3 linked regions of the Drosophila melanogaster genome follow. The protein of the gene in region 3 interacts with the protein of the main gene of each other region in a pairwise test. Each region holds a gene or a part of one and is shown on either strand. Other genes may lie near its edges.

Region 1 (4,315 bases), about 15 Mb from region 3:
AACGAGCTCTTCAACGAGTACCTGCCCCCCTTCGCAGCTCCTTCCAACGAGTACCTGGCTCCTGCTGAGGGTGCTCCTGAGACCATCTTGGCCGATGATGGATACCGTTACAAGACCCACAAGCGCGTGGTAACCCGCCGTCACCGTCGTGATGTGAGCCACTTGCCCTCCAACGAGTACCTGCCCCCAGTCCAGGCTGCTGCTCCTTCCAACGAGTATCTGCCCCCAGTGTCCGCCCCCGTCCAGGTTGCTGCCCCAGCTCCCGCTCCAGTTCAGATCGCCGCCCCTGTCCAGCTGGCCGCCCCCGCTCCTGTCGTGGTTGAGGCTGAGCCCGCCCATGAGCTGGCCGATGACGGTTACCGTTACAAGACCCATCGTCGCGTTGTTTACCGCCGCCACCGCCGTGACGTCAACGAGCTCTCCAACGAGTACCTGCCCCCCTTCGCAGCTCCTTCCAACGAGTACCTGGCTCCCGCTGAGACTGCTCCTGAGACCGACTTGGCCGTTGATGGATACCGCTACAAGACCCACAAGCGCGTGGTAACCCGCCGTCACCGTCGTGATGTGAACGAGCTCTCCAACGAGTACTTGCCTCCCGTGCAGTCTGCTCCCTCTGCCGAGTACCTTGCCCCCCAGGAAAACACCGTCGAGGCGGCTCCCGCCCATGTCCTGGCTGATGATGGATACGTCTACAAGACCCACAAGCGCGTTGTGTTGCGCCGCCACTAAATCATCCGATAAAGGCTTCACTAGGTGATCGAATTGTGCTCATTTTTGAGTGCAGACCCTACTATTAGAATACCTCTTTTTCATTCAAATACAATAATACGATAACGAATCCATACATTCAGCTCTTTTTAATTTTATTATGTTGGGTGTACGAGCTGGGTGATAAAAGGTTATATGTATAGAATTGACTGAAGGAGGAATATATTCGGATAAAACATAAATCTTTGCGGATAATATATAAACCAGAGAATAATAAAAAACGACAAAGTTTTTAAACATGTATTAACCTATTTAAAAATAATAATTTAATGTAATAATATAAAAAGGTTTTAGGGCTAGAATATATTCATTATTTCACGATCTAATTATACACATAAGAACGTGGGATTAGAGAAGCAATATACACTTGACACATAATCGAAATTGAAATCTATTTATGCCGAAGCTTCCGCAATCTCATCTTCAAAAAGTTCAAGCCTGCTTAACGCTTTTAGACCATTTACCTACAAAAGTAAGGGTATGTTAACTTTCTTGGATGGTGTGTCTTTTTAATATGCCGTTATTAATTTAATAGGTTTTTATGACCTAAACGCTTATGTAATTTATTAAAATGTTATTTTATAGTGGATATATTATTTATATACGATTTGCAATTAAATATAGAAACGTTTTGTTAGCAGAATCTAGTTCGAGGAATAGAATTAATTACCCCGTTTTATTAATGTTTTCCTTCGACTCTTCATAAAAGGTAATTTTTCCAAAAGTGTATTCAGTTCATTTTGTTCAGGTTTTCTTTCAGCCGGTGATATACAATCGCTTTCGACAGTCACATCTATGTATTGTTTCGGCATTGAGGTCGTGATTTATTTCCGCAATTTGATTGCTTTTTCGGCAGTCATTTCGCTTCTTACCAACTGTTTTTAGCCTTTTCTCCGCTCCGCTATCGAACATCTGCTTTTATTACCCGAAGTCATAGAACCCGATTAGTACCAGTTGATTAAGCCACAATATAATTATCGACAATTAAGCAAATTGAGCTGGGGTGGGTCGGAATTGGGAATCGAAATTGGCACGCGTTTGGTCTGGGAGAAATTGGCAAGTGCGGATAGGGGAACAATGGAACCTGATCTTGGCCACTAAGTATTAACGAAATATACTTAAAATATTAAGTGGCCGTTTGGATGATTTGGCGGTTAGGCCGGGGGTGAAAGGGGGACTCCCAAATCGTGGCTCATGATCTCGCTGGAGTTGAGCAGAGCGCAAAACCCGTTGCAAACCTGCTTGCAAAACTATAATGGATATGTTTTGGCGGTGTCACTAAATACAAATTCATAAATTAAATAGTCAAATGCAAATTTCTCGCCGCAGGCCGGTGATTAGAATCATATAAATAAGCCGCAGAACATTGTCTAAGGCATCACTTCCACTTGCACTCTCCGTTCAACTGGACAGCCGAGCACCCAGCAAAATGGTATTAACCAGGAACGGTGCGCCATTAGGATAATCAGCTAATATGTGCCATTTTCTCCATTGCAGAAATTCTTCTTGTTCTGCGCCTTCATCGCCGCCGTGGCCGCTGATGTCAGCCACCTGCCATCTAGCCAGTACCTGCCCCCCGGCCGTGGAGCAGCATCGGCTCCCGTGGCTTCCTACTCTGCTCCTTCCCAGAGCTACAGCGTAGAGGCCTCGGCCCCAGTTGCCTCCTACTCTGCTCCCGTTGAGTCCAGCTACTCCGTTGCTGCTTCTGCTCCAGCGGTGTCTTATGCTGCTCCAGCTGTGTCCTACGCCGCTCCCGCCCAGAGCTACTCTGCTCCTGCTGCCACCTACACTGCTGCTGCTTCTGCCCCAGCTGTGTCCTACGCCGCTCCTGCCCAAAGCTACTCTGCTCCTGCTGCCACCTACACTGCTGCTGCTTCTGCCCCAGCTGTGTCCTACGCCGCTCCTGCCCAGAGCTACTCTGCTCCTGCTGCCACCTACACTGCTGCTGCTTCTGCCCCAGCTGTGACCTACGCTGCTCCTGCTCAGACCTACACCGCTGCCGCTTCCGCCCCAGCTGTGTCCTACTCCGCTCCCGCTGAGTCTTACGAGACCGCTGCCTCTGAGCCCGCCCACACCTTCTCGGCCAACGATGGATACCGCTACAAGACCCACAAGCGCGTGGTCCTTCGCCGTCATCGTCGTGGCGTGCCCTCCAACGACTACCTGCCCCCCTTCCAGGGAGCCGCTTCTGCCCCAACCAGTGAGTACCTGCCCCCAGCAGCTTCCGCCCCCGCTCCAGTCTACCAGAGCGCTGCCTCTGCCCCAGCTGTGTCCTACGCCGCTCCCGCCCAGACCTATTCCGCACCTGCTGTCTCCTACGCCGAGCCCGCCGAGAGCTACGAAACCGCTGCTTCTGCTCCTGCCCACTCCTTCTCCTCCAACGATGGATACCGCTACAAGACCCACAAGCGTGTGGTGCTCCGCCGTCACCGTCGTGATGTGAGCCACCTGCCTTCCAACGATTACCTGCCTCCAGCAGCCTCTGCCCCAGCTCCAGTGTACTCCGCCCCCGCTCAGAGCTACTCTGCTCCCGCTGCCACCTACACCGCTGCTGCCTCCGCCCCAGCTGTGTCCTACGCCGCACCTGCCCAGAGCTACTCTGCTCCTGCTGCCACCTACACCGCTGCTGCTTCCGCTCCAGCTGTCTCCTACTCTGCTCCCTCTCAGAGCTACTCTGCTCCCGAGTACTACAGCGGTGCCGCTTCCGCCCCAGCTGTCTCCTACTCCGCCCCAGCTGCTTCCTACTCTGCCCCAGCTGAGAGCTACGAGACCGCCGCCTCTGAGCCCGCCCACTCCTTCTCCTCCAACGATGGATACCGCTACAAGACCCAGCGTCGCGTGGTCCTCCGCCGTCACCGTTACTAGAGGCTCCAACGAACCCCCAGCGAACCGAGCCAAATCCTGTTATTTGACTCACGGGTTTCATCTGGGAAACGAAATTAATAAATTCATAAATAAAAAAAATATTGAAAAATACTTCCACTGCCTGATTAATTAATCGACTAACAGGAAACCCCATTGACGGGAGCCCCCTTATTTGCCTAACAATAATATTGCATAATAGAATAAGAAGTTTTGGCCACTAAAGCCAATGATTATCAGGCATTAATACCGAGCTGTCGTCAAGCGGAGACGATACAGCAACTGAAAAAACTAGTTCAAATCGAGATGCGGAAACTCGTTTAATGCTTCGAAATTAATTTTTTGTTCAGCAAGTGCATTGTCATCTGAAGCTTCAAGTTCAAAGTCAACCATAAGAAAATTCGAGGCATACTTTTTGGCCTTTGTAAGATTTATATGGATGTAGTAAGCATATAGTAAGTGTATATTTATGTAGTAAGTCCCTCGCGGCAGACTACAGAGTTAAAAAAAACCCAGTGAATTATGGATCTATTTTGTAAGGCAGACTTATTAAAAAATTTATCTTAGTAATATAAAAAGCCTCAATGTATAGCATTATATCCGTATCACAGAAAGACTTTTGTTATTCCGGCTAAAAAATAGCAGGTTGAATGATTCCAATGCTATCGCGTTACCGAAGTTTGAG
Region 2 (5,304 bases), on a different chromosome or scaffold from region 3:
TTGTCATGGATCGGAAGCTGAAGAGCAGCATCAACTGGCGGTGTGCCAGGTATCGAAGTTCGAACTGCAAGGTCAGGGCCACCACCCACGTGCAGAAGAATGGACTGGAGGTGTACCGACTGAAATATGCGAAGCACTCGCACCTGTGACCTAAGAAAACATACAAATACCTGTTGAATAAATCTTAAAGCATTTTTATACAATAAATCATTATTAATCAAGTTAAAGCTTAGCAGGTGCTGAACAAAATTTCAATGGAGCTTAACTTTAGTGGTATTTTAGGGCTGTGAATGTATTCCATTAATTGGATTTTTAATATCATAGTAAAGTTGCAAAAACCAAATAGAAATAAAAGTGCGTGTAAGATATGTAGACTATTAAATACCCCTAAAGTTGTAAATCTTTACCTAACATTCATTTGATCTTTTACTTATAGATATAATACGCAAGCGAGGTATAATGATTGTCAAGGGCACCAAAGGAAAGCCCAAACTGCTGATGGGCGGCTACGAGTGAGTCTGTCGTATTATTAATATTATAAATAATATAATATAAAATTTTACCATTCCAGGTATTATCGCAACAATTCGCGGGGCTCCAAAACGTATTGGCTTTGTGCTCGGAATCGATACATGCGCTGCGCTGCTCGAATTATCACGTGCTCGGTGACTGGGGAGCTGATTATCAAGAACCAGCAACACAACCACGACACACTCAACCAGCCCAAAACTGAAATAAAGGAGAAACCACTGTCCTCTAGCCTTAAGTCTAAAGATCCCGAGCATTAGCCAATGCACCCCGCTCCATTCTGCTTCAAAGTCAACTCGATGTACCCATCTTATTTATACTCTATCTACATATAAGGGTAAAGCAATTTATTTTAGTTCGTTTAGACTAATGACATGTATGTGTTTAGGTATCGCGTGTATTAGTTAAGACCTTGCTACAAAGTTATCAAGTGCATGCCTTAAACTTTTATTTTAGTTTTAAAAGGATAACGGTATGTTAAAATAATAAAATAGGATTTGCATTTTTAGGAACCAATTTATTATATGCAAATAAGCGCGATACCTATGTATGTAAATGCGCATCTAGTGTTATGTCCTTGGGTGTATACCCATGTATCCAATAGGCACCCCAAGCTAATTTTTCTTTAGCTTTTTTACAGTTTATTATTTATTTAGCGTATAAGAATTAATGTCTCAGAGTTGCAACTTTCTAGTTTAATACTCCCAGGTATTTTTTTTAAATTAGAATTCTAAGGTGTATTTTGTGGGACTCTATCAAAAATTCTCTTTTAGGTATTAAATAACAATAATGAATCAACTTTTTTGATCCATTACCTATCATCTATGCTACTTTTCAAAAATCCCCTATTCCGTGCAAGTCAATACTACGTAAAAAGAATTTAAAATTCCTTGTTCGACTGGATTTCATTCTTTATAAAAACCGTATGAAGTGATTGAGTATGGGAATTGGAGCTTTACAAGGCCACGAAAAACTGTTTTATAAACAGATACATTCTTTATTGGTTCAACGACCCTTTGTTGCATGGCCAGCTCTCAAATTGATACCGCACACAATGACGGGCCTGCTAATTTCTTAAGTAAACTTTGTGGGTCTTGTTTATACAAATCGAGTTTCAAGCAAAGAGTGCGAAGTGTGGAATGACAAGAAAGCTGATTCAGCTTTCGGGCCACTTGAAATGTGTCCCTAAGTGAGGCATATTAATCTGCTATTGAACGCATTCGTTTGCATTCAGACAGTGGCTACAAAAAGTTGCCTCTTACTTCAGAAAAATAAATAAAACGACGTTCAACTTTTACGGTGCCATATTTTTACCTTGCAATGTGTATCTAGTGCGTTTTTAATAGTAAAAACATATGTTTACATTGTTGAAATGCAATATTTTGAAAATCTATTGTGTTTGAAAAGTTGTATTCAGCTACCTCGGGAAGCTTGAGCATCGAATATATTACTTAGCTCTTGTAGTATATCCAAAAGTAGAAAAAATAATTAAAAATGAATGCTTAAATTGCAGAATAATGTTTCAAATGAATGCGCCAATCGCAGTCGTTTTGCTGAGATAAGATGAATGGTTCGAGTCCGCGCCAAATATCTGTGAGATTGCAGCAGTGCTGCGCTGCGGTCATACTGCAGCGGTGAGATACAATCCCTCGGAGGCGAATTCGTTTACCGTACCGTATCGAAAAAGTTATATTCTCTCTCGAAAACCCGAAGCGAGCGGACGTGCAGCGCGTGCCGCGTAGAAACAGATACACAGCCCATAGATACAATTTCCCTTGGCTCGTTTCGTAGGTGGTGTGTATTGCAGCAGAAGCATCAGCGAACGAGCAAAAGCGTCTCTGCGTGTGAGAGCGTTTCGGTGAAAATTAAATAAAACAAAGAGCCAAGTGAAAATCGGTTCGAATCGCCAATTGCCCAGCGATTCATTGGGAAAATCAGAGGGATAAGAACAGGCATTAGGAAATAGTGTGTGTTGTTTGGTGTACTGCAGATTGAAAAACCGCTGCGCGCGTGTGTGCTTTGTGTGCGTGTGATTCGGCCGATGCGTTTTGCCTAATATCAATAAGAAGTGCAAAAAATACAACTTTGTCTGCTGGAAAAGTATCTAAACCCAATTATTCGCCGAAGAGCATTCGTTTTAATTCGATTGACACAGCGAGTGGGCGAGAGGGAGAGGGGCGACTTGAGCGAGGTAATATAACTGTGCAAATGGTGGTGGAGCTGTGAGCAGCAGCGACAACAACAAATGTAGCGCCGCCGCTCAGATCTCTTCGCCGCTTTGCTTTTGCGCAGAGAACCTCGGCGAATTGCTGCGAATTCGCCGCAGCTGTGTGTTTGGAAACACCTTGCTCCAATATTTTAACACCCCCCGCCCGCCGCACCATCGTCGGAAATATCCGATTTTGCACGACCATCGCTGTTTCAGTCTCAGTTTCGGTTCGCTTCGTGCGCTTTCTGCTGCCCTGCAGCGGAAAATTCAACGAAAATTCACTGGGCAGCTTGCAGAAACTCCCAAAAAAAAGGAAACGGAGGAGCAGCGAAAAGGAAAACCGAAAACGGGTTGCGATTCTTGCACTTACCAATGCTGGTTGGCTGCGTTCCGCACGCGATTTCCTCTGTTGCTGCATTTTCATCCAAATTTAATCCCAAGACAACGACAACAAGAAGAACGGGTAAAACCAGGAGAACGGCAAGAAGAAGAGCCCCAGCACAAGGTGAAGAAGAAGAGCCAGCTCCAACATTGTCGCCGCGACGTCAGCGTCGCTGCAGCACCGCAGCTTCATCAGCTAGCCATGAACTACAACTACAACAACAGCTACAACTACAACTACATCTGCAGCACCACCAGCCCCAATAACAACAGAAGCAGAAACAACAAAAGCAGAGAACAGGTTTGTACACACAAAAAATTTGGTTATTTCTAATATGCCCCATTGGTTATTCGGCTTTTCCAATTGGACCTAAGCTCCAAGCGGTGTCTAACGGTTCTTTTTGAAATGTATCTATAAGATGCCTGAAAACTGCATCTTTTAATATTAACCTTATGTCAGTTGTATCAATTCAATGGTTTCTTATTCAGTATCAGTTTTTTCAAAACCAAAGAGGTTTTTTGTGTGAAAATTTATCGTTGAAATTTACTTAATTTGAGTATTACTAATGACCTTTACAATTTCCTCTAAGAGGCAACATGAAATGCTAGCTCCTTGATTTTTACAACGTTTCATATCTCCCCTTTCTGGCTACTGGTTTTTAAATATTTTATGCGACTGCATTTCATACTATGCACTATTACAACTTTACTGAAAATAACTTGTCATATTTATTATTTTACAACTTCACTTTGGATTTTATTGTGCTTAAGATCTTATCTGCGAATATTCTGTATGGACCTTTAAGATTGGGTTTTTCTCAGTGCACCGACTCGCCGTCGTTGCTCTCCACTCGCTCGCTTATTCATAACTTTTTTGGTTATAGATTTTTGTCACCCCAACCCCTAAAACTGGCGACCCAACCTCATCCGATGTCCCCCTCCGCTCGTCCCCTCGGCACACCCCCCACGTAGCGCCATCATCCTTCAGTTGCTCACATGCTCGACTGTTTCAGTTTTTCAATTATTAATGGTGGCCATTAGTGCGCGCGCCGTTCGACCGCCCCGCCCCCTTTGGCTGGCCGCCCCTTTGCGGGTGTCGTGTAGACGCTTTTTTTCCTTATCGGACAAATTGTGTTTGTCTGAAAAGTTCAATGAGGTGCGCACTGCAATTGCACTAGCCCCACACCCGTGCACCTTTTTCCCTGACCAGCCGTCATATTTATGCTATCGACATTTAGATAAAAATCATGTTGGTGCCGATGTACATTACATGCATGGCTTTTCCAGATATCAGATACCAGAATGCCGATTGAGCAGCCCGCAGCACGGCGGAAATGTATTGCATTAGGGGAATTACTCCGGGACGGAACGGGACGCAACTCCGGAGTTGTTGATTAATTCAGCTCGAGGTGCGTGTGGGTTTGGAATGGGTAGTTGGGTAGCTGGGTAGTTGTTTGCCCGATGTGAAAATTCTCTATTTATATTTATTGCTCAGTTCGTTGCTCTGGGGCGAGATAAGAAATGCCTCTGAGTCATTCGGTTGAATAAGGATTTACGTATTTCGCAGGAAGCTTTGTGCGAAAGTTGACAAACGGACGATAAGTTGTGAAAGGTATGTAGCTGTTGGGGTTTGCGACAAAGCAGATGTGTCACCTAAACAGGGGTAAAGCAACGATAAAAGTGTCATAAATATGTACTCACACCTACTACTAACATCTGCTCCAATTATCTTGGGTAGGAACTGGGCACATTTGAACATTGATCATCGAGATAAAATGCGGCGAGCAAACAGAGCGTCTTTTCTAATCTCATTTTCAGGTATATTATATCTAAATAAGATAACTGCATTGAATCGGAACATTATTTTATTCGGGTTGTATGCATCCAGATAACTCAAAAGTGCATATATTATAAGCTGTGTAGATCGAGTTGGAATTACACAATAAAGTATTTACCTTTTAAATAGAGTCTGTTTCCCGTCCTGACTGACGATTAACTCGAATAAAAAGGTCTTACTGTAAAAGCCTTCTTATGTCAAAAATAGGGGACTTGACTGATTTATATGTTTAACATTTGGTTATTTTTGATAATTAATGGCGGCATTGGAACAAACTAATAGACTACTGGAGACTGGATTATTTCCCTAACGAGTAGTTAAATAAGAATTCTGGCATTATCGATCAATT
Region 3 (3,599 bases):
AGTCAAAGGCAGATTAAGTTTTGATATTTTGGAACTTAAGAGCTGTTATTAACAACAAGAACTATTGTACGAAATGTCAAGAAATTACATAACTCCCACAAGAATATTTCAGTCCCTGCACGTCGATAAATCGAACCACCCTAGCCTTCCAAGGACGGCAAACATTGTTTATATATTTTTATAGAATGAATGGAAAAGATTGAAGGGTTAGTGAAGGGCAAGAGGAGCTGTAAGAGCGCCACAAAAAAACTAAAGAATCAAACCAGAGTAGTGCGAACTAGAACAAAAGCCAGCAAGGTTCGAATGAATCCCAAAGATAGTTGTTAGTCGTATGTTATAAGAAGAGCAAGTGATAACAAACTAAAACTCAGATCAGTTTCTTCAATGTCTTCTTCTGTTTTTAGTTACTTTTCCCAATTTTTATTTGGTTTGTTCCTAGGTTTGTTTGTCATGCGAAAGCGATTGCCAGTTGGATCGGGCTATTAAGATTGTGTATCTGCCAGATAATGTATCATGATGATTTAAATGAATCAGTTTTGTGAAAAGATTAATTGCCATTAATCACAGTTCTGAATATGAGCTTAGCACCATTTTAATACTTTTTGTTCGGTAAAAGCAGATCCGTTCGAGCACAGAGACCATGTCAAAAGTTAACTATAACTAACCACCATCCACTATCTAGTCAACTCGAGTTTACTTTTGCTACCTTTTGACTATTCGCAGTCAAAAAGGATATTCTCCAATCCGATGATATTTGTAGCCCGATCGGAAAAACCCCTTTTAGCCATCAGACACAGCAGACAAGCCTTAACTTTTGTTTCTCTTAATTGTTGATATTCTTCTAATGTTTGATTTTTTATATGCTTTAATTTTAATTTAAACGATTTGAATATTTTCTATGTATATGTTGATGCGTAATATATCTATCGTAATATTATATAAATATATATACAAAATAAAATAAACATAAACTTTAGTTATTCCTTTTCGGTTGATTCTTTCAATTATCTATGTATTGTCTGAATAATAATGAATACAATTTGAGCTCTTCTTATCCACAACAGAACCTTAAATAGCCTATATCAGGGATATAAACAAGCGAATAGCTACTTATAACAATTAATTGCAAACGCAGCTACCTCAACGTTTTCCGACCGAAAACACGAATAAGAGAGAATAATAGTTAAACAAAGTAAATTTATAATTAAAGAAACTATTTAATATGTTTATTGCATAGCAAACATGTGTAAAACAAAAGCAAAACAACAAATAAAACGAACTTTAAAAGTTACAACTATTTACATACATATGTTAACAAAAACAGAAACTTCTCGAACATAACTAATGTCCACAAATCCAAATGACTTAGACTGAAGCGTGAGTATGCAAAAAGTGTTATGAGATCTGCCCAAAAACCAGAAATTTGTTGAGGTTTATGTGGGCGGGGCTCTTGTCATCATGAGTTCCACTTTACACTTACAAAAGAATAATAAAGAAGCCACAGTTAAATAAAATTGCGAACAGACATTCTTAGCATGTCTCGAAAGTGTTTTCTTTTGTGCTTCACAGGGACGGACAGGTGGTATCTCAGGTGTTAGCAAATTACACATTAGTTATTCAAAATGGTTAATGTTTCCGTTTAAATGTAAAAATCATCATCTCGGTCACCACCAGTCATTGCTCTGGTTCCATATGAAATTTGTGTAAAAGTTTATGTTATTTTTACGCGCAGAAATGATATACATATACCTGTTAATTGATCTATCCTAGAATACGAGAATTCACTTTTCATGGCTCGATCACAAAGTCCGACATCCATTTGGTGTGAAAGTTCTTTCATCAGCCCAAAAACTCAACTCATTCATTGAATATTATGCAAATCAGATACTTTATAAATAAATGGCTTGGTTTATTAAACAAGAGAAATTAGCATACGATACAAATATAATGCGATCGTAAGACAAGACATATAGATCTCAAATGAGCTATCTTAACGGGAGTTTGAATGATTCTCCTCTGTTGCCATTTTTCAAACGCATTTATCCACATAAAAGAAGTGACTGCGATCTGATTTTCGTTAGTTCACAGCATGTCGTCGAATCTGGAAGTTCTCTCTGCGAACTGGACTATTCTGCTGGTGGCACTACTGTCTGTTCTTGGGGGAGTTTTCGCCAAGGATGATGCCTCAGTGCCCCGGCTGATCACCCTCCAAACTGGAAGTCCCGCTCCAGCCCCGCCACAGGAAGTGATCATAGAGGAGGATCACGATCATCAACATTATCATCCGCCACACTATCCGCCAAGCTATTCGTATCCGTATCCTCAGCCACAGCCATGCGGTTGTCCGCCCGGTCCTCCAGGTCCACCTGGTCCACCGGGACAGCCGGGGCAGAAGGGCTATCCCGGCCCCAAAGGATCCAAGGGTGATCCCGGCGAGAAGGGGCCGCGTGGAGATAAGGGCCACCCCGGGATGCCTGGAATCCCTGGCCAACCTGGTCCTCAGGGTCCTCCTGGATATCCCGGAGGTTCATATCCACCGTATCCGTATCCTCCACCTCCTCCTCCTCCATCACATGGACATGGAGGCCCTAAAGGCCACCAGAGGCACTACTATAACTACTATGATGAGGACGAGTATGATTACGGCAATGAGCGTTCTTTTGGTCTGAGAAAAACCGAAGAATTCGACGACCAGCCCTTCATTTTGGCCTTTAGTGAACGCAGAAATCCGTTTAGCACAAAAAACAATAAAAGACGAAATTAAAATAACATTATTTAAAACGAAATAGCTTTGATAATTATTTCTGTAGGTAAAAAGCAGATACCCAATACTTAAAAGGAACTTTCAAAATTCTTTTGAAGAATGTCCTTTTTGACTTTTGAGTGGCTTCGTTTATAAATGACACCAAAAATCATACAAAGTGTGGGTTTATCGATTACCTATAAAAATATACCACGCACTCAGCGTTTAAATCGAAACCTCTTTACAAACTGTATATTATTAGACATTTGTTAAGTCGTTTAAAATCTCACATTACATTAGGCAGAAAAGCTGGCTTAAACTATTAGCAAACATCGTCGTCTAGGGCGGTGTGGTCGTCGCCCTCCTCCTCCGCTTCCTCATCCAATCCCGCTTGCGTGGCACCAATCTCCGCGAAATCATCCTCCATGGTATCCACAAAGCTCGACACCCTATCATCGCAGAACAAACAGACATTAGAAACAAATAACAAAGACATTCGTTGGCTGGCATCACTTTTCAAAGTCGCACTGCGGCAGGAGACCCTCCTCCTTCGAGGCGCTGAATCGGAGCAGCGTGCACAGTCTGAGGAGTCCGAGGAGTATCAGGAACATCCCGGCCACATAACTCAGCCACAGATTGTGGGGATACAGGATCAGGCAGATGCCGATGACCGCATAAACAGGAGTGGGTCGCCAACCGCCACAAATCGCTGAAAGTCGCCAGCAGGCCAAGCAGCTGCAGGACCTTCGCTGGTAATTATCCCTGAAACAAATTGAATTCACAAATATGTGAACAGAGAAAAATTTGCAGAGAAAAATCTGAGCAAAGGCACTTGATATAGAGTATTGTATATAAT

The links. The genes of interacting proteins can lie anywhere in the genome.
Region 1: the proteins of CG14089 (region 3) and CG11350 interact in a two-hybrid assay, tested with the Drosophila melanogaster proteins (one large-scale study listed by BioGRID).
Region 2: the proteins of CG14089 (region 3) and aus interact in a two-hybrid assay, tested with the Drosophila melanogaster proteins (one large-scale study listed by BioGRID).

What each region holds. Positions count from the first base shown.
Region 1 is NT_037436.4:4,480,647-4,484,961, forward strand, and holds CG11350 (uncharacterized protein), read left to right. Parts: upstream 1-2,162; 5' UTR 2,163-2,197; coding exon 2,198-2,200; intron 2,201-2,265; coding exon 2,266-3,633; 3' UTR 3,634-3,724; downstream 3,725-4,315. Other genes in the region: CG7465 (uncharacterized protein), read left to right, coding at 1-729.
Region 2 is NT_033777.3:21,346,511-21,351,814, reverse strand, and holds the start of aus (argus), read left to right. Parts: upstream 1-2,213; 5' UTR 2,214-3,320; coding exon 3,321-3,419; intron 3,420-5,304.
Region 3 is NT_037436.4:19,279,291-19,282,889, reverse strand, and holds CG14089 (uncharacterized protein), read left to right. Parts: upstream 1-2,089; coding exon 2,090-2,764; 3' UTR 2,765-2,770; downstream 2,771-3,599. Other genes in the region: CG14086 (uncharacterized protein), read right to left, coding at 3,066-3,192, 3,257-3,505.